Alligator mississippiensis: one gene and its partners. Each later gene encodes a partner of the first gene's protein in a complex. Links are inferred from orthologs where the notes say so. Each region holds a gene or a part of one and is shown in the gene's direction. Other genes may lie near its edges. The genes, in order: ATP8B1, TMEM30B and TMEM30A.

Region 1 (6,920 bases):
GTTTCTGCCTGCCTTGGCAGCAGCAAACTACAGCCTCTTTATACCTGGTTCCCAAACTGGCTGCTGTCAGCAGGCACCTGGTAGCTACCTGACTGCCCTTAAAGTGGTAGGCACCAACAGTGCCCTGCCACAGATTTTAAAACAAAAATATCAGTGTGAAATATGAGCTTGTTCACAGTTCAACTAAAAAATTAATAATATTATAAAAATGACTGCAGTGACTGCACTTGATTTCTGTATGGTCTTACAACAAAGACACCACTTTGTCCACTTGAGAAGATGACCCAGACACTTGGCTCTTTCTCTATCCCACCAAAGCGTCCATGGAGGTATGTATAAGCTGCACCATTCATCTTTGTCACTGTTCCGGGCAGTGATGTATTATGGCAGATTATAATGAGTAGAGTAAATAGTCATAAGAATTAAGTTCATGTCCTCTCCCATTTAAGGTGTCTACACTGCCTGAGCAGGTTCAGGCTTGATATCAGGAAGCATTACTTTACGGTTAGGGCTGCCAGGCTCTGGAATGAGCTCCCAAGGGAGGTGGTGCTCTCACCTACTGGCGGTCTTCAAGAGGAAGTTGGATAGATATCTGGCTGGGGTATTATGATCCCAGCACTCTTTCCTGCCCAGAGCAAGGGGTCAGACTTCATGATCTGTTCAGGTCCCTTCCAACCCTAGAAACTATTAAACACCAGTGATTCCTGGTGTGCTGCAGGCAAAAGCAGCAGAAGTGTGCCATTTTTTCATATTTCTTTTTTTATTTATTTTAAGCATTTTAATATTTGTAATATTAACACACAATATTACATTTTCAAGTGAGAGTTAAAAAGTCAGGCTGCTTGAGTCTCTTCGGGCATGTCTACATGTTCCTGGCATGGTGCAATTACTGCACCGTGCGGGTGCTGCATGCTTAGATTTCCTTGCTATGTTGCCAAAACAATGTAGACCCATGTGATGGCTACATCTCTGTAGCACGCTGTATGGCAGCGTAGTGCATCGCTACATTGCCGTGGTATAACATGTAGACATGCTTCTTGAGTATTATTTTGATCCCTATTGAACTGAAGTAACTATTAAGATACAGCCATTCCTCCGTTGGGCTGAGAACTCACAACGCACATTTTTGAGTGTTTTGTGGAAAAAACACTAAGAACAGGACTTGACTTCCTGATATTCTACGTTGAAAAAACAGGTAGGAAAATATATTATTCTTTGAAAAAATAATCAGCTCATGCTCCTGTATCTAGCTGAAAGAAGCAAAACTCCTCTGCATTTCCAGGCCACCTTTAAGGTTCAATTTGCTAGCACCAGTAACAGAGGCTAATAACGAGGTCCCCAAAGTAAAACAGTGTATTCCAAGTGCCCTCCATAGGCTGCTTTTGGCCCAAACCATTTGAAAACATTGCATTTCCAAGGGGAAAGGACACAATTTTCCCTGACCCAACACAGGTTTGGGCCCACTACGACACAGAGGTGACCCTTGGTTCATGTTTCATGCCAGAGCAGAATTGAACAAGCTTGAAAAAAACTCTTCACTTCTTTCAGGAGACAAGGATTTCTGTGGGCAATATCTTTTACTGGACCAATTGCAGAGCTGGGTTAGAGATAGACAAGCTTTCAAACACAAGACATTCTTCAAGTCACTTCTTTCCTCATGGGTTATGAAAGAGGCATGGGTTTCTTAAGGTGATATCCTCTTTTGGGATCAAGTTAGACAAGCTTTCAAATGTAAGGCATTCTGTCATGAGCCAGGCCCAGCATAGTAAAGAAAAGTAGTGGGAGGGGGTGAGAGAAATTCCCAGGGGTAGCAGACTCACAATTAACAGAAGAAAAGAAGCTGATTCCTGGAAGATCAAGATCAATTAAAAGGGAGGAGGGTCATTCTTACCTTTCAGGTGTGGGGAAAAAAAAATCAGGAGTCAGGTAAAATATAATGTGCCATAAAACTTGGGAACAAAAGTTACATTTTTGTTCCCAAGTTAGCCTTTAAAAGGGTGTTAGATTTCCCTTGAGCAGGAGCATAGTGAGAGCAGAGAGGGATTGGTTATTCTGTGAGAAATGGGCTCCTAATTGTGTGCATCTGCTCTTTATCATACAAAAAACTAGAACTCTTGGTTCCAAAATGATATCTTTTATTAGACCAACTGGAAAATGGCAAGAAAATTGTCCTTTTCTGCGAGCTTTCGGGATCAAAGTCCCTTCGTCAGGCTCTGGGAAAAGTGTAGATGGTACAAGATGGTAAAAAGTCCCCATAGGTAGGAAATAAACTTCATTTTTGCACTTTCTGCCCTTTATCTATTTTCTGTAAGCCCTCGTTCTGTGCCGTTTCGCAGTGTAGTTTAGCAGAGTAGTTCCCCCATGTAGCTGCCCTGTGGTCACTAGATCAGGCATACCGCAGTTCAGGACAGGCATGCATGGGCAGATTTGAAACTAGGGGTGCAGATGGTGTGATGCATCATCACATACAGAACAACACACACTTTTCTCCAGTTGAAAAGAAACTAGAAGCTTTCATGCTAGGGGCCTGGGTCTGTATTATTCAGTTTAAGATTGAAGGAAAAAACTAATATAACCTAATTGGAAGGAGTAGAAAACCTGCAGGACTGGGAAACAGGAACTCCATTCCCAGGAGCAGTGCGTGGCGAGAAGGAAGCTGGCTGGACCAGGTAAACCTCAAGCCCATTACACAGAAGAGAACAGGGTTGCTAACACCTGTGGAATGAGGAGTCTAGAAGGAAGCCGATAGATAATAATGAGCCCTGAAGTCAAGTGACTTCCCCAGCACTGCCCGACTAGAAATGCTGCTGCTGCTTCCAAGCAGCTGGTTTTAAACTGTGGGTAGAGCATGAATCAAAGGAGGGGGTGCGAGCTGGGTTTGAATTACGTGGGGAACTCGGGGGGCTGAGCCCCCTCATAACAGACAAAAGCCGCCTTGCAAGATTTGAAAATCATAGCTGGGGGGGGTCTCCTATTGTATTGCTCCTTCACTTCATTCCAGGGGATTTAATTATAGCATAGTGATGGGCAGCCCAACTTTTTTGGCAGACCCCCCCAAGAATCAAAGCGCAACTGAACCCTGGGTGTGAGTACATGCACCCCGGCTGTCCCTGGAGGAGGGGGGGGGGGTGTGAATCAGGGTGACTGCCTTGGGCCCCACGCTTTGGGGGGGCCCTGTGAACAGTGACATACAGGTCTCACTGTGGTTGCTGTGCACCGTTGGCGCCACGCTCCAGCTGCTTGCTCCCCCGCCTCACCATGCTCCAGCTGCTCGCCTCCCTTCCCCGCTACACTTGCTACCCCCTGGCCCTGCACGGCCTGATATGCCCTGGGCCCCACACACCCCTGGGGATGGCTCTGACCCCTGGATCTGCCCAAGGTGCTGCTAGTCGAGGCCGCAAGGCCCGCAACCTTGACCAAGCAGCAGTCTGTTTTGTTCTGCCCTGGCGACGAGCCCGCAGAAGGACAAGGAAAGGGCTCGCATCCCCACCCGCGGACACCTCCAGCCCGAGGAACCGGGCCCCGCCAACTCTGAATCTATTCACACGCCATAATGACGCTGATATGATGCCTTTACATCAAATGCACGGGACTAGCACATTATTTTTTTAAGCAAAAAAACCCCACTGGACTACTGCATACGTCGGGTGAAACACTGATTCTTGATTTTCTCCCGGGTGACTCTCAGCAGTCTCCTTGGAGCTTGATATCCGATGCCTGGAGCCTCCCGGGCCGTGCTGCGGGGCTGGGGAAGCACCGCCACGGCTCTGCCTCCTGTCCCGTCCCGTGCTGTGCTGGAGGCGGAGGCGAGCGGGGAGTCCCCGCTACCTGGCGTCACGCGGGCGGGCGGGCGGGCGAGGGGCGGCGCTGCGGGCGGGCGGAGCGGAGCGGAGCGGAGCACACCTGGCGCGGGGCAGCGCCGCCGACCTGGGAACTCGTCGGGCCGGTCCCAGCCATGCGGCCGCGCCGCTGCCCCTGAGCGCGGCCCAGCCCCGCCGCGGGGAGCCGAGCCGAGCCGAGCCGAGCCGGGCCAGGTGAGGGCAGCGCGGGCAGCGCACCTGTGGGCCGGGGCGGGAGGCACCTTGCAGCCTGAGCAGCAGCAGCTCCCCTGCGCCTCCCCGGGGGAGACGAGCCTCAGCTCCCGGACAAGGCTGGTGGGCGCAGCGCGGTCTCGGTTTTGGACCAAGGCACAGAGCTGGACACGTTCCTCTCTGCAAGCTGTCGGGCACAAGCCCCCTTGGCCAGGCCGAGCAAGCGCCTGCCCACGGTCTGCGCTCTTCCTGGGTGGCCGGGAGAGCAGCCCAGCGCCCAGGGGAGAGAGCTGCTCAGTGCACATGGAAACGCGTGTGTGCTGCCTCTGGCTCGCGCTCTGCTTTGGTTAGTCTCTAAGGTGCGAATCCGCCACATCTGGAATGCGCCCGGCGCAAGGCTGTGGGCCCCACAGCTCATGGCGACGGGGGTCGGGCTGCGTGTGCCCTTCACCTCGCTCCTTTGGGCTAGCGAGGCTCGGGCGCGTGTGAGCGCCAAGGCTTCCGGGCCGGGGCTTGCGCCTAGGAAGCCTGCCCTGGGTTTGGGAGTAGCTGCAGCCCCAGGCTGAAGAGTCTGGGGGGAGGATGCTTGCCCCTGGTAGCGCCACACAGAGCTGAATGATTGAGGGCTCTCCATAGATAGACTTCGGTGCTGACTTGGCCCCGGACATGACATTTAAAAAAAAAACACCCAAAAAAACTACCCTGTCTCCTGCTAGACTTCATACTAAGGCAGCTAACCATGTCCCTTACCGATGGAGCTTCTTCCATGTACCAAGCTAAACATCTCGCACTCCTCCCGGGCCCCCAGTGTAAGAGGTATTTGCTAGTTTCCTCATTGTGCTCTCAGCGATACTTGCCTGTTAAAATGCCCAGTGATTCATTTTCAGAATGACTGCGCTGTAAGGTAAACATTAACTTGCTCAAAAAGCATGTTGCACCCATCTCTTGACAAAGCTGTTGTAGGGAATAGGCAAGGGGAGGATTGCCAAGTGTTTTTTTTTATTATTATTATTTTTAAATCCTCATCTTTCTCAAAATAATAGAGAGGATCTGAGTTGGAGAAAGGCAGATGGGAATTCATTCACTTGTTTGCCTTCTAGCACTAATGGCAAGATCTGGAAATTACTCTCAGTGCCTTGTGGTGCACAGATTTATGTTTACCTGAAGCCTTAATATTTGTCTGCGGTCCGCATATCAACAGTTCTTGGAGGGACTAGGTGGGCACCTACATTTGATTGTGCAACATCAAATGGCATGGTTTAATCTTAAAACAAAACAGCACAACACTTTTATTTTGACTGGTAAAATACACTGTAATTCTGATCAGAGAGTAGTTCATGAGTCGGACCAGGCACAATGTTCTTTAATATGACAAGGAAAAAAGCTCTTGTAACAGCAGAAATTTCCATCTCTCCAGTAATAAAAAAGCAATGACTTAACAGAAGGCAGCAGCTCTAGAGCATATAGATCTTAACTATACAGAGAGGGGACTGGTCCCTTTTCTTTCTCTACAGGGAATCATGAATATTTTGAGTTAATGCTTAAATTATGCTTAAATTATTTTGTTCAATATAAAGCTTTCCTTTTTTTTTCATAACAAAAATGTGCAGGAAAAATTTCTGACTGTCATACCTTTCAAAAATAGCCACTGCAGAAAGACGTATAAAAGCACTTTTGTTTTCAGTCTGATTCAAGAAATATTTTGTCTTTTGCCTCTACTCAGAAATGTAGTATGGTTAATTATTTTTTGCTCTATAGTTTTTGTTAGTAGTATATTTGAGCAGTGACTATGTAGCGGCATACTGTACATGCACAGAGGTGCTACATTAAAGAACTTACAATATAAGTATTGTAGAAATGGAAATTGAGCACTAATTCATAGCGCTGCTCAGTATATTTTAGGAATATTTGCTAACAAGTTGGTGCATATTGCTTGTCTGTTCTGGTGATCAAAGGAATGGAAAATAAGCCACAACTTAGATTAAGGCTGTGTGAATAATTGCTTAGCATTTACTTACCTGTTTGTTTAGTGGCTGAACTAGAAAATGGGAATGGATTTTTGTTTTGAATCAGCATGAAATGAAAATATTTCATTTTTATTTGGTGAACTGAAATTGCTCATTCTTGCTTAGGTGAAATATTTCCATTGACCCTAAACATTGACATTTTTTGTGTGTCTGGGAAAAAAAAAATAAAGGAGTTGACGAGGAAAAGGGAGGTAGTGGTTACTGGTTATGGTCTTGCTGTGCCTTTCTTAACCCAGTGGTTAGGACACCCACCTAGTTCAAGCCCCTCTGTATGTGATTCAGAACAGAGATTTTAAGTGAAAAACTCCTAGCTTTCCAGTTGATGTCATTATACTTATTATTAACATACTTATTCATTGGATCAGGGACTGGAAAACCAGGTGTTCACCTTGCCAGGTGAATAACTTATCCATCAGGCCAGAGAGTTCAGTGGCCTGAGGAATATTCAAGTATATAGTATAGAGGGGAATGGCTTCAACAGGAAAAACTGGAGAAACCCACCCCAGAATACCCTGAAACTTCATGGCTACTGTGCAGTATTCTTTTGGGAGGTAAGAGGCTTCAGTTCAAATCCCTGCTCTGAATCAGGCCAAAAGGAGCTTTTAATTCACATCTTCCATAACCAAGTGTCCAAACACTGATCTGGAGTTACTGAAGGCCCCTCTAGCATCATCTCTCTCTCTCTCTCTTTCTCTCTCTCCTGTATGAATGGGGGACCTCTCTCTTTCATTAATTTAATCTTAAAATCAGAATAGTTTGTTTCAGACGTATCAAAGTGAACTGCATCAACAATTCCAAAATAATTTTTATTCATCCATATCTATGTGGTGAATTTGACTTGAGTTTTATGTAGTTTGGAGTC
Region 2 (5,806 bases), on another chromosome or scaffold:
ATGCTTGTACCTAGCCAAAAAGACCAGGTTCTAGTTTCAGTTTTGCCACTGACCTCATTTTGACATTTGGCTTAATTACTTCACTTCTAGGTGCTTTTGTTTAAGCTCTTTGGAACAAGAACTGTTTCTCAATATGTGTTGAGATAGTACTAGGATAAAGGGGCCCAGCTTGGTTGGGGTCTCCAGGCATTACTGAAATATAAATAAAAACCTTATTTTGTCTTTCTACATTCATACTTCCATCTATTATTTCTCTTATTTCCATCCTTTTCTGTTCCTTTCTCCTTTTCTTCTTGTCTCTCATTTGTTTGATTTTTTCCATTACATACCTTCCTAGTCTGTTTAATTTTTTAAAATATAGTTAGAGCTTGTCTACTCATGGAGTTATTCTTCATTCACTATTCCTTATGTCCACACGTAGACACTCTTATTGAGTAACAACTCCTTCTCTAGGTAAGCAAGACCACTCTCTCTTCTCCCCTCAACCTTCTCACTTTTTCCTTTTTCTGTGCTTTTGTCTATTTCCTTATGGAGCCTCTCCTGGATTTTTCGTATCTTCTTTGCTGAGAAGGCACCACACCTGCCTTTCTAACTTCAGAATAAAGCAGGCATATAAGAAATCAAAGATACAGTTTGAAATACATGTGGACAAGAAGTTATATGAAAGCAACTAGTTGTTTTTGGTTTTATATTTAGATGTTTATACAGTGAAACCCATGTGTTCGGCACTTGTCTTTAGTCATATGGAATAAAAATCTTTTATTGCTTCAGTGTATTTCAATTGGATTTTCACCTTTTTGTGATACAAATACTCCTTTCTTTTTATTGAAATTGCACTCCATTATAACCAAGTTCTGCTGAATTTGTCTTCTTGGAATTTATCAATTAGCACCTACCTGCCATGGCTTATCACAGGAGGTAGAGAAGCATCCATCCTTCTGAAACACTTTCAGTGCATCTAATGGACAGTTTACAAGGATGAGATGTTGGTCTAAAGAAACAATGTTCTTTTTCTGGACATATCCTCTTTCATTATGACAGTTGTGTTAAACACATTTGGCTCCATGGGCTGGTTGAGTGGTACAGGGCTGGTCCATGGGCTGGATGCATGGTGTGGAGCTGGCTCTGCAGGCTGGATCAGGCCCAGTGACTCTCCCCCGCCACCCCATGCCAGAACCAGTGCATGCAGTATACCAGACTGGCTAGGGTGGGTACCATGTGCAAACTGGATGGAACAGGAACTGTGTGTGGTATGCATCTGAGGCCCTGTCTATGCGGCTGGTCTGGTGTGTGTCACATGCAGTGTTTGGGTCAACTCTGGACCTAGGAACAGAACTATGGGCCAGATGATCTGGCTTACAAGCTATATTTCTGACATGCCTGCATTATGGTAAAACCCTAGAGTGAGAAATTCAGTCCTGTACAAAGGGCAAGCTCAAAGGCCATTCAGTTTTGCCAATTTCTGCAGTTTTAAATTTTGCAATATATGGTTTGCTTGTTAATGCTCCAGCTCCTGAAACCAGGATATTGCATGACAGTGTCTGCTTTCAAGGAAAAACCATGCTTCAATTTTTCAGAGAAAAACACTACATTTCCAGTTCCTAGGATTGCAAAGAAAAAATGAAAAATGAAAATGAGGCCTTGAGACTCGGGAACCCGAGTCTCAAGAGCCAGAAGACAACTAGAAACAAAACAAAATCCCACACTTTATTATTTAAAAAAACTCAAGATTATTATTCCTTCTTCTGATTGTTTTGGGGTCTGATCTTTGAATGTTTGGAAGTGGCAATATTGCATATAAATGGTGTAAGTGAGGATGATGATAATAATACAATACCTACCCCTTAGCTATCATTCTATCAGCAGGTTTCAAAGCACTTTAGGAGGTTAATATCAGTATCTGCATATTACAGATGGGGAAACAGAGGCACATGGGAATGTAAATGGTTTGTCCATGGTCACCTAACAGACAAGGTCCAGGAACACAACCCAGATACAAGTCCCAGTCCAATCTGTACCTACTATGCCCACACTACCTCCCAGTTCTCATGCTATTTGCAAATAGATTAATTTCACACACAGTGACCCATAGATTAAGAAACTGAATTATTTATTTTTAAGACAATACTGTTATAAAGAATAAGCAGGTTTTTTTTTCTTTCCAGGTTAAGTCTTTGGATTCCAGCTTTCAGTTCACACAGAATTTGTTACAGTTAAGTTATAGCTCCTTAAATGTAAGAGGTTTGCAGCAAAATCACAGAAACTTAAGTACAAAACAGAGTTGTTTTAATACTAATATTACCTTTCAAACATTCTCCTTTGTTTTTAACTATTTTCTTTATTCACTAAAAAGAAGCTGTTGTGTAGGAGAGAGTAGGGAGAGGAGGTAGAATTTGTATTACTGTTCTGTTAGCTCAAAAATAACAGAAAATGATTACTGCTGTTTGTTGAAGCATGTCCTTGGAGATTCCTACTTTGTACTGTGAGATTAGCTGATAGAGGAAAACAAAAGGACTTACCCATTCCTGGAAATGACACACACAGTCCCCTTGTTTCTACATTGCACAGGAACTTTGCTAATTTATTAACAAAACAACTATGGATAAAGAAAAAAATCTTTAGAAATTGTGCAAGTGATTTTGTGCCCATTGATGCATGTTGGGTGACAAATTCTAGTGCTTCTCGCGGGATGTAAACACACTGGTTCTTAGTATATTCAGAATTGGCAAAGATGTATGAAAATGCAGCTAGCAGCATCTGTATTGCTGGAGTTTTTTTTCAAAATGGCTAAATAGATTGGCAGAGGACAATCAGTACCCCAAGTTAAGTCTTATTTTGAAAGTAGTTAGCTTACTTAGTAAGTGTCAAAGTGTAGCAGAGTTACTGTCCTGGCTGTGTGTTTCTTGTACACAACCCAGGGAGTCCCCAAAGGGAAGGAGTTTGTTGTAGGAGATAATGTGATTTTTTTTCTTGCTTCTCTTGTCTGCAGCATGGAATTTTTACAAAAAAAACTAGCACAGGTACAGATAGGGCCTAGGTTAAACGGCTCTGTGGCATCTTTATGTATCTAAGATTTAGTGTATAAGGTACATCTCTATTCTGTCTTCTCTCTGGCCTTGGTACAGTGCTGCTGGAGTCAGAAAACTATAGTGTTCTCACCGTTGTAAATGGTGGTGTCACAGCCTCTTGTAATAAATAATAGCCTGAGAAATACAGAGTAACTAGAAACAGCAACACTAGAAACAGGAACCAATAAGTAATCAAGAGATTTGGATTTTGTGTTTAATGAACATGTGCCTGTTGGGGATATGCTTCCTTGTGTTTGCCCCCCATGATCACACTGCAAAGGCATGTAAGAGGCACTTGGCAGCTGCCTAAGGACATGGTGACATGGTATAATTATGGAACCAGCCGAACAACAATTCAGAGCTGGTGAACGGATGGCATTTTAACTGTATTTTGTGAAGACTGAAGTCAAGAACATCATTGGACACACTTGGGAAAGAGACTGTCAGACTCTCTGAGGCACAGCCACTGCCACACTAGTGGACTTATGTCTGGCTGCTGGCGTACACACCTCCACATTACCCTCGTGCCACATCAGTGCCCACTGCTGCTTCACAATCAAATGGCTTGAGCACAGCCCGCCAGTGGCTGCGGTCGCACGGAGCCACCGGGTCACGCGTCCCTACGAGCATCTGGCGCTGGACAGGGGCGAGGCACGTGCAGCCCCAGCGCGGCTTCCCCGCCCCGGCTGCCTGGCACGAGGGGCCCCAAGTGCTGCGCTGCCGCTGGGACAGGGCTGCTCCGTTGTGCAGGTGTGAGCTTCCGCCCGCGGTCACAGCCCGGCCCTGGCCTCGCGGAAGCGCCTCCCAGACCGCAGGCCCCGACATGCCCGAGCCTGGAGCCGCCGGGTCTGGAGCGCAGGGGGAGGGCTCAGCTCGGCGGGGCGGGGCCAGGAGCACCTGCGGCCGCCGGGGCGGGGCGGCGATGGCGGCGGCGCGGCGGGAGCGGGGGCGGCCGGACCGCACGGCCTTCACGCAGCAGCGACTCCCGGCCTGGCAGCCGCTGCTGTCGGCGGGCATCGCGCTGCCGCTCTTCTTCACGCTGGGCCTGGCCGGGCTGGCCGTGGGGCTGGGGCTGCACTTCTCCTCGGGCACCATCCGCGAGCTGGAGCTGGACTACACGGGCGCCCTGGGCAGCAACCAGGACTGCGCCCGCTGCACCAATGCCAGCGCCACCTCCGGCCCGTGCCTCTGCACCCTGCACTTTGAACTGGCCGAGCCCTTCCCGGGGCCGGTGTGCCTGTACTACCAGCTGTCCAACTACTACCAGAACCACCGGCGCTACGGTGTGTCCCGCGACGACCTGCAGCTCAGCGGGGACCCCTGGGGGCTGCGGCACCCAGCCGAGGAGTGCTGGCCCTACCGGCGGGACCCGCGGGGCCAGGCCGTGGCCCCCTGCGGCGCCGTTGCCAACAGCCTCTTCAACGACACCTTCGCCCTCCACCGCCTGGTCAACGGGTCCTTCATGCCGGTGCCCCTGGACAGCCGGGGCATCTCCTGGTGGACCGACTCCAACGTCAAGTTCCGCAACCCGGAGCTGGTGAACGGCAGCCTGGCCACCGCCTTCTGGGGCACGTCCAAGCCCCCCAACTGGCCCTGTGCCGCCTACCTGCTGGATGCTGGCAACCCCAACAACACAGGCTTCGTCAACGAGGACTTCATCGTGTGGATGCGCACCGCCGCCCTGCCCACCTTCCGCAAGCTCTACCGCCGTGTCCACCAGGGCAACTTCTCCGCTGGCCTGCCCCGTGGAACCTACCGCCTCGACATCAATTACAGCTACCCTGTCCTCCCCTTCAAGGGCACCAAGAAGGTCATTCTCAGTACAGTCTCCTGGATGGGCGGCAAGAACCCCTTCCTGGGCATTGCCTACCTGGTCTTTGGCTCGGCTTGCATCCTCACTGGTTTTGTCATGCTGGCTGTGCATATCAAGTACCAACAGCAAAACCAGATGGATGAGGATTAGAGAAAGCTGGAGGTCCTAATGCTGCTGGGCATAGAAGTTGTGGGGAGGAATTAAATTGCAGCTAGTCACCATGCGTGGTATAATTCTGACCTCATGGGGAGTGCTCTGAAAAGAAGAACTAGGCCTTTTTTTGTTTTGTGACAGATTAAATTAAAATACTTTTTTTTCCCTAATAGAAAACCAAGAAACATCCAGACCTGGTTAGAATGGCTGAACTCGTGGTTCATAATGTGATAAGAGAATATTATGTGCCTAACAGGTTACTGTTGAGCTAAAACTCTTCTCTACTACCCACATTTCTAATGACCCAGACTTATTTCTTATGCCTGAAAGAACTTCATACAATGCTGTTCCTCGTTTACTGCTTTCTATTCTGAACTTCTGTGTTTCTTTAAACATTTTTTCGCTACAAGTGAAACTTAATATGTTGTTTTCATTGTTACATGAAAAGGAGTAGTCATGGGTTATTCATTTGCATAATTGCCTGGAGTTTGTGCTACAAACATCATAATAGCTTTTAAAATCTTCCAATTCCATTTACAAGTCTTCAAATTTTTTTAGGTCTCACTAGCCTTTATGGCTCTTAGCATATCAGTGCCTTCAAACCAATAAAAGCAATATTTAAATGAGTATGCATAGCAAGACCAAAGTGCTGACCTCCACATCAGTGTCATTTGAATCATACTTGAGATAAGTTGTTAGCTGTCTTGAATTACAATAATACTTTAGTTCCCTTAATTTTTGTAGAAATTTAGATAGGGAGTGTAAAATGATC
Region 3 (6,935 bases), on another chromosome or scaffold:
ATTCTGCACCACATTTCACACCAACAGAATGGTAGGATATGCTGCTACCTATATAGCGTGTATCTTTCTGACAGCATTTTTAAGCTATTTTATGCGACTGTTTGCTTCCATGAAATTCTAATATTTGTTTGTTTTGTATAAACTTTATATGAAGTGAATTCATTTTAAGTGGGTATAAAGTGTCATGATATGGCAGCCTGTAAGGAAAAGACGAAAATGCCAGTTACAGCATCTAGAATGGATACAATCAATTTCATTTTTCTTATGAAGAATGAACCCTGCTAGGTTTTGGCTGTACTGGAAAAAGCTTTCTTGTTTAGTTGTTTTGCTAAACCCTCACAGTGATGCTGTAGCTTACATAATAGAAGATATTGAAAGCGTGTTCCACAGCCTTCTGACCTTATTTGTGAATGAATCACCACCTAGATTAAAAATGGCTTTAATCTAATCTGTAATGAAACTGGCAGTTATCTCAGTGAACACAGCAACCCTATCACAATGTTTTTTCTGGTTTTAACACTGCTTTTAACTTCCTGTTGTGCTGTCTGAAAGCCTCAGCTGATATAGAAAGTGTATTTTACTTGTTGAAATTTAACAGCATTCTGATATATTTTGCTTATGGCAAAAAATATTGTGCTTGCTGTAAGAACTTCCCCTAACCCCTACCAAAGACACAATTTGTAGAACTTTAAACAGTTAAAGTATTTTTGTTTTTTGTTTTTGTTTTTATCAGAAATGCAGCTAGGATTTATTTTCATGTATTTACTTTTTAAAATATTTTGAATGGAACTGTAGTATCCATATAATTGGGAGACATATTTCACTGGCTGTAACCTAAATGCAATAAAATGTATGTTGTTGAGGTTTTCCATACACGTTAAGCTTGTAATATTTGACTGGCACGCAGATGTATAGTATATTTTGTAAGATAACAAATGCCATCTGCTCGAAATGTATCCCATTTCAGATGACAAGTGAATTTTACCCTGTGAATTAAAGTTGCTGCCTAAATCTTTAAAATAGTCTCATCCATATTTGAATATTGAGGGCCTGAATGCATTACATGTTCACACTAGAGGAAACTGTTTTTGTACTAGTATAAACCCTTAACAATGTAAAACATGTTAGAATCTAGTGTAGTTACCCTGGAGAAAAATGGTAGTAAAAATACATACAGGTGGAGGTGTTGTGTTTGCAGTTATCTTAGGTAGTCATTCAATCATTGCAAACAGCTTATTATATGTGCCTCATCAATTAGTGTTGAGGTGCTTTAAAAGTGTTTACTGCAGTGGCTGCTTCAGGATCCTTGCCTGTCTGCTCTGGATTCCAGTGTAATTTACAATACTGTAAAAACCGATACACATCAAACTGGTAGTATCTTGGCCCTCTATTCAAAATATAAAAATTAAATATAGTAGCTATGTAATTACCTTCTGCTTTTGAGTACTTTGGGAGAAAGAATAGTGACAGATGGAACTAGAGACCATTCTGGCCTTGACACCTGGAAAGATCATGGAACAGGCCCTCAAGGAATTTATTTTGAAGCACCTAGAGAAGAACAAGGTGATCAGAAACTGCCAGAATTGATTCACTAAAAGCAAGTTGTGTCAGACCAACCAGATTTGCATCTATGATAGGGTGACAAGTTCTATGGAAGTGGAAAGCAGTAGATGTGATATACCTTGACCTGTGACCTGGTCTGCCACAGCATTCTCATTAACAAACCAAACTGAGGAAATACAGACAAGATGAAAGCACTGTAATGTGGATATATAACTAGTTGCATCGTGTTCAATGAACAGTCATCAATGACTCAATATCTCGTTTGGAGGAGGTATCAAGTGGGGTTCCTTGGGAATCTGTCCTGGCTCGGGTATTGTTGAACATTTTCTTAATGATTTGGATGAAAGAATTGAATATATACTTAGAAATTTGCAGATGACACTAAGTTGAGTGAAGTTGAAGACATTCTGTAGGGTAGTGCCAGAATCTAGAATGACCTGGAAAACGTGGAGAAAATGCCCACAATCAATCAGCTGAAATTCAATAAGGACAAATGCAAAGTGGTGCACTTAGGATGGAATAACTGCATGACAAATACAGACTGAGGAATGACTTGCTAGGTTGCAGAACTGAAGAGGACCTGGGGTTACAACAGATCATAAACTAAGTATAAGGGAACAGGGTGCTTTTGTTGCAAAAGAGCCAAAAGCAGGCTGATTTGTTTTAACAGGGTTGTCACTTGCAAATCAAGAGAAGTAATCCTTCCAGTGAGTCTCTCCACTTTTGGACCCTGCACTTCAAGAAAGATGTAGTAGACAGACTGGAGAGAGTTCAGTGGAGAGCTACAAAAAAAGATTAGAGGCCTGGAAAGGATGACTTACACGGGATGGCTGACAGAGCTAGGATAATTTACTCTGGAAAAGAAAGTCTCTGATAGTCTTTAAATACTTAAAGGATCATTATAGAGAGAACAGAGAAAAATAATTCTCTGTGGCTATGTGGGACAGGACTTGGAGCAAGGAGTTCAACATTCAGCAGAGGAAATTCAGGTTGGATATTAGGAAGAACTTTCTGTTTATAAGGGTGGTCAAGCACAGGAACAGAAGTTATGGACTCTCCATCCCTGGAAATTTTCAAAAGCAGTTTAGACAGATACTTGGCTGAGATGGTTTAGTCAGGGATGATCCCACCTTGAACAGGGGACTAGACTAGATGACCTTTTGAGGTCCTTTCCAGCCCTACTTTCCTATGATCCTAAGTTATACTAGAAATATTCTTTTCATACAAATACACTTGTTAAAGAAAATAATCAGTCTTCCATTTTACACCTCGGAAGCAGAGAGTATGCTGAACTCTCCCTTTCCTTTGTGTGCTTACTGGCATAATTGCAAACAAGTAAATAGTCTACAGAAACACTATCCCCATGATACTTATAGTAATTAAATTCAACCTCATCCACTTCAGTATCTTACTTAGGCACATATAATGCTACTGGGAAGGCAGGAAGAAGGGCCTGTTTGCTGTCTCACTTCTTTCCTCATCCCCCAAAATTACATTGGGTCTGTTTTAAAGCATCAGACCAAGGAGAAAAACAAATCACTCAGGTCCACTGAAGACCCAGGAACCAGGTGGGGGGAGGATTTACCCCCTTCTGCCCTTCACTTTGGGTGAAGTTACACATTATACACAGAACATACTAAATCTGTGGAATATTAAATGGTGTTAAAGCTACAACGTGCTGTGAGCAATCGCACATAAAGTAGGGTTACCGTATTTCCAATTCCAAAACAGAGGACACCTGTGGGGGGGGGGACCTCACTCCCCACCCGCAGACCCCTGGCCCAGATGGTGGCCCTCACTCCCCACCCAATCCCTCACCTCCCCAGGCTATGCTGGTGCCCCTCACTCCCAACACGCATCCCCCTGGCCCTGCCAGGGCCCCTCCTGACCCGCAGACCATCCCAACCGGGCCAGCGTGCGGCAGCTCCGGTTTTTGCGGGTGCTCGTGGAGCGAGTAGGAGGGAAAAGGGGAGGCCTGTGGCATCCCGCCCCACGCCCTGGGCTGGGGCTCCCACGTCATGGCGGGCGGCCCCTGGCAACATCTCCCGGCCAGCGCCCCACGATCAAGGGCACTAGCCCAGCTCCCCCGCTGCTCTCTAGAGAGACCGGGCCTGCAGAACGCTAGCAGAGCAACTATGCATGCGCCACCCCAGCTGCGGGGCCGCGTCTCACCCACCGGACTGCGCATGCGTAATACTCCTCCCTCTCGCGCTCTGACTTTCCCCTGACACGGCGCGTCATCAGCGCGCGCCCCAGCTTCTCCCCTTTTGCGCAGGACGGCGCGAGGCCCGATCACGTGGCGACGGCGGGCGGTGACGTTGTTGTGTCGTTGCAGCCCCTCCCCCCCTCCCCGGCGCGAGCGGCGGAGGCGGCGGCGGCCCCCCGAGCCCCCGCCATGGCGGTGAATTACAGCGCGAAGGAGGATGCGGATGGGCACCCGTCGGGCGGGCTGGGCGCGACGGGGGGCGGCGCGGCCAAGACGCGGAAGCCGGACAACACGGCGTTCAAGCAGCAGCGCCTGCCGGCCTGGCAGCCCATCCTGACGGCGGGTACCGTGCTGCCCGCCTTCTTCGTCATCGGCCTCGTCTTCATCCCCATCGGCATCGGCATCTTTGTCACCTCCAACAACATCCGCGAGTACGAGGTGCGCTGTGGGGCTGGGCTGGGTGCGTCCCCGGCCGGGCTGCCTTGTCCCTGCAGGCGGCTCCGGAGTGCACCCGGGGGAAGCCGCCGCGGCCCGGCCCGGCCCGGCCCGGCCCGGTCCGGTCCTGCCTGCAGTGTGGCCGCCGGTTTGAGCCTCCCTACAGGGAGGTGCGGCCCAGGTGGAGACAATCCTCGGGGTGGGAGGGGCAACGAAATGGTTTGGGGCCCGGGGCGCAGGGCTGGTGAGCAGAGGCTGAAGGACTTGGGCTTGTTCAGCTGTCTGGAAAAGACGGGAGTAAGAGGGGATTTGATAGTAGCCTTCAGCTACCTGAAGTGGGATTTGAAAGAGGATGGAGCTGGACTGTTCTCAGTGGTGGCAGATAACAGAATAAGGAGCAGTGGTTTCAAGTTGCAGGAAGGGAAGCTTAGGTTGGATATTAGGAAAAACTGTCTCACAAGGAGGGTAGTAAAGCACTGGAACAGGTTACCCAGAGAGGTGGTGGAAGCTCCATCCTTGGAGGTTTTTAAGACCCAGCTAGACAAAGCCTTGGCTGGGATGATCTAGTTGGGGCTGGTCCTGCTTTGAGCAGAGGGTTGGACCCAGTGGTTCTCAGCCTTTTTTTGTACCAGGACATATTTGTAACCATAGGTGGCAAGTCCTGACCCAGTGCCCCTCACTCCTGACCTGCTGCCCCCCACTCCCAGGCCCCCAGTGTGCGAGGCAGGGAGGCCCCAAGCAGCCCCTCACAGGCTGCAGCTCTGGCAGCCTGCAAGAGGGAAACCACAGCTTCCTCCATTTTTCTCTATTTTGAAAGTTTGCTCACAACCCTTTCGTATATTCTTGCGACCCACTATTGGGTTGCAACCTACAGGTTGAGAAGCGCTGGACTAGGTGACCTCCTGAGGTTCATGGATTCATAGATTGGAAGGGACCTCAGAAGATCATCGAGCCCAGCTCCCTGCACCAAGCAAGAAAGACAACCGGGGTCAAGTGACCCCAGCAAGGTGACTGTCCAGTCTCCTCTTGAAGATCTCCAGGGAAGGTGATTGCGCCACCTCTGGAGGGAGCTTATTCCATGTTCTGGACACCTTGGCTGTGAAGAAGTTTTTCCTAATTTTGAGCCTGAAACAGCCTTTCAGGAGTTTGTGACCATTGCTCCTGGTTTTCCCCAAGGGTGCCCTGCTGAACAGTTGTTCACTAAGCCTTTGATGTATGCCCCTGATGTAGCAGTAAGCTGCTACCAAGTCCCCTCTCAGCCTTCTCTTTTTTAGGCTGAAGACACCCAAGTCCCTCAGCCTTACCAGAGATTTGCATGGCAAGCCATATGAGGTCATACGGGTGGCCCTTCTCTGGACTCTCTCAAGCTTTTCCATGTCCTTGTTGAAGTGCGGTGCCCAGAACTGGATGCAGTACTCCAGCTGCGGTCTCACCAATGCTGAGTAGAGCTGAAGAATCACTTCTTTGGTTTTTCTGGAGATGTATCGATTGATGCACGCCAGAGTATTATTTGCCCTGGTGACTACAGAATTGTATTGCCGGCTCCTGTTCATACTGTGGTCAGTTATTACCCCCAGCTCTCTTCCATTCATAGTGCTGGTCAGATTGGCATTGCCAAGCCTGTAGGTGTGCAGGGGATTGTTCGTCCCCAGGTGAAGCACTTTACATTGCCCAATGTTAAACCTCATCTGGTTCTGATCCGCCCAACTTGCCAGCCTGTCTAGGTCCACATGTATCTGCAGCCTATCTTCAGGCATGATCGCGCTTCCCCATAACTTGGTGTCATCTGTGAACTTGGCCAGGTCCCTTCCAACCTTAATTTTCTATATCGCCCTTGTAGCACAGTCAGTACCCCACAGACACACTTCACTATTGAAGACTTTTAAGCAGCTTGATCTAGCCTGACCATCCTCCAGATACTGGTAAGGCCCATCACCCATATCTCAGTGCCAGGATGTGGTCCTCAATAGGGTTTTTGGAGGGTTTTTTTTAGCCAGGGATCTGCAAGTTGATTTATGGGGTAACTATAATACTAGGGGAACTTTGAAAGTGGAGAAGATGCTTGTTGTTTTAACATGTTGATTTAGACCACGTGCCTACGTACAAGAAGTTCAGTGCTAGCATGTGTATACACATATGCTTTGTCAAGCTGCTACCTAAATGCAGTACAGTTAATGTTTCTGTGTTTCATACCGTGGATGTCCTGACAGGCTACAAACAAGCTTGGAATAATGCACCAACGGTCTACTCGCATCAGGGGACATCTTGCAGTGATACTGTCTGTAATGCTGAAGTATACTAGGGAGGGCCCTTGGTGGTGCTTGTGTATACAGCTGGCAAGTAGCCAAAATGTTATCTTCATTTTAAACCTTTACACTGAGTTTAACAATTCTAAGTAGTAGAGGTGCACTGATACATCGGTCCATATCGTATCGTTACCAATAAAAGGAAAATTGAAATTATTGGTAATCGGCTTTTTTTGGCTGCTGTGGCCAATAATGTCACTTATAAATCTGTGCGTGCGCATAGCCACAGCATGCATGCAGCCACTGGGGGACTTGGGCGGAGGGAGTGGCTTCTGCTGCTCCATGCACCTGCAGGGTGAGGCATGTGGAGCACTTGCCCCCCAGATCTGTGAGTGAGGCAAGAGCAGGCTGCCACTGTGTGCTGGGGCTGGGGGTGGCACCAGGCTCTTTCTGGTGGGGGGGACTGGGGCTGGGCTAGGGCTGCA

Evidence for each region.
Region 2: the proteins of ATP8B1 (region 1) and TMEM30B are in contact, whole or in part, in a cryo-EM structure (PDB 7VGH), measured with the Homo sapiens proteins. The link is inferred for Alligator mississippiensis from reciprocal best matches to the Homo sapiens genes ATP8B1 and TMEM30B. Residues at the interface, in NP_001361314.1 of Homo sapiens: Trp362, Val366, Ser369, Ser370, Trp371, Tyr372, Leu373, Tyr374, Asp375, Gly376, Phe418, Trp421, Asp422, Leu423, Tyr426, Asp431, Pro433, His939, Trp942, Arg946, Tyr968, Phe971, Asn972, Gly973, Ser975, Ala976, Gln977, Leu1003, Gln1005, Phe1049; in NP_001017970.1 of Homo sapiens: Gly9, Ala10, His11, Gln12, Pro13, Asn15, Phe18, Thr19, Gln20, Gln21, Arg22, Leu23, Pro24, Ala25, Trp26, Gln27, Pro28, Leu30, Ser31, Ala32, Ala35, Leu38, Phe39, Phe46, Leu49, Leu53, Tyr109, Tyr111, Asn116, Phe117.
Region 3: the proteins of ATP8B1 (region 1) and TMEM30A are in contact, whole or in part, in a cryo-EM structure (PDB 7VGI), measured with the Homo sapiens proteins. The link is inferred for Alligator mississippiensis from reciprocal best matches to the Homo sapiens genes ATP8B1 and TMEM30A. Residues at the interface, in NP_001361314.1 of Homo sapiens: Thr138, His359, Trp362, Glu363, Val366, Ser369, Ser370, Trp371, Tyr372, Leu373, Tyr374, Asp375, Gly376, Arg384, Ile388, Phe418, Asn420, Trp421, Asp422, Leu423, Tyr426, Lys430, Asp431, Thr432, Pro433, His939, Trp942, Arg946, Tyr968, Phe971; in NP_060717.1 of Homo sapiens: Lys24, Thr25, Arg26, Arg27, Pro28, Asn30, Phe33, Lys34, Gln35, Gln36, Arg37, Leu38, Pro39, Ala40, Trp41, Gln42, Pro43, Ile44, Leu45, Thr46, Ala47, Val50, Phe54, Ile57, Phe61, Ile64, Ile68, Ile75, Phe119, Tyr121.

Annotation. Positions count from the first base shown.
Region 1 is NC_081826.1:283,465,909-283,472,828, forward strand, and holds the start of ATP8B1 (phospholipid-transporting ATPase IC), read left to right. Parts: upstream 1-3,913; 5' UTR 3,914-4,034; intron 4,035-6,920. UniProt on the Homo sapiens protein: Catalytic component of a P4-ATPase flippase complex which catalyzes the hydrolysis of ATP coupled to the transport of phospholipids, in particular phosphatidylcholines (PC), from the outer to the inner leaflet of the plasma membrane.
Region 2 is NC_081833.1:43,879,762-43,885,567, reverse strand, and holds TMEM30B (cell cycle control protein 50B), read left to right. Parts: upstream 1-3,967; 5' UTR 3,968-3,990; coding exon 3,991-5,031; 3' UTR 5,032-5,207; downstream 5,208-5,806. UniProt on the Homo sapiens protein: Accessory component of a P4-ATPase flippase complex which catalyzes the hydrolysis of ATP coupled to the transport of aminophospholipids from the outer to the inner leaflet of various membranes and ensures the maintenance of asymmetric distribution of phospholipids.
Region 3 is NC_081824.1:65,532,719-65,539,653, reverse strand, and holds the start of TMEM30A (cell cycle control protein 50A), read left to right. Parts: upstream 1-3,888; 5' UTR 3,889-3,958; coding exon 3,959-4,207; intron 4,208-6,935. UniProt on the Homo sapiens protein: Accessory component of a P4-ATPase flippase complex which catalyzes the hydrolysis of ATP coupled to the transport of aminophospholipids from the outer to the inner leaflet of various membranes and ensures the maintenance of asymmetric distribution of phospholipids.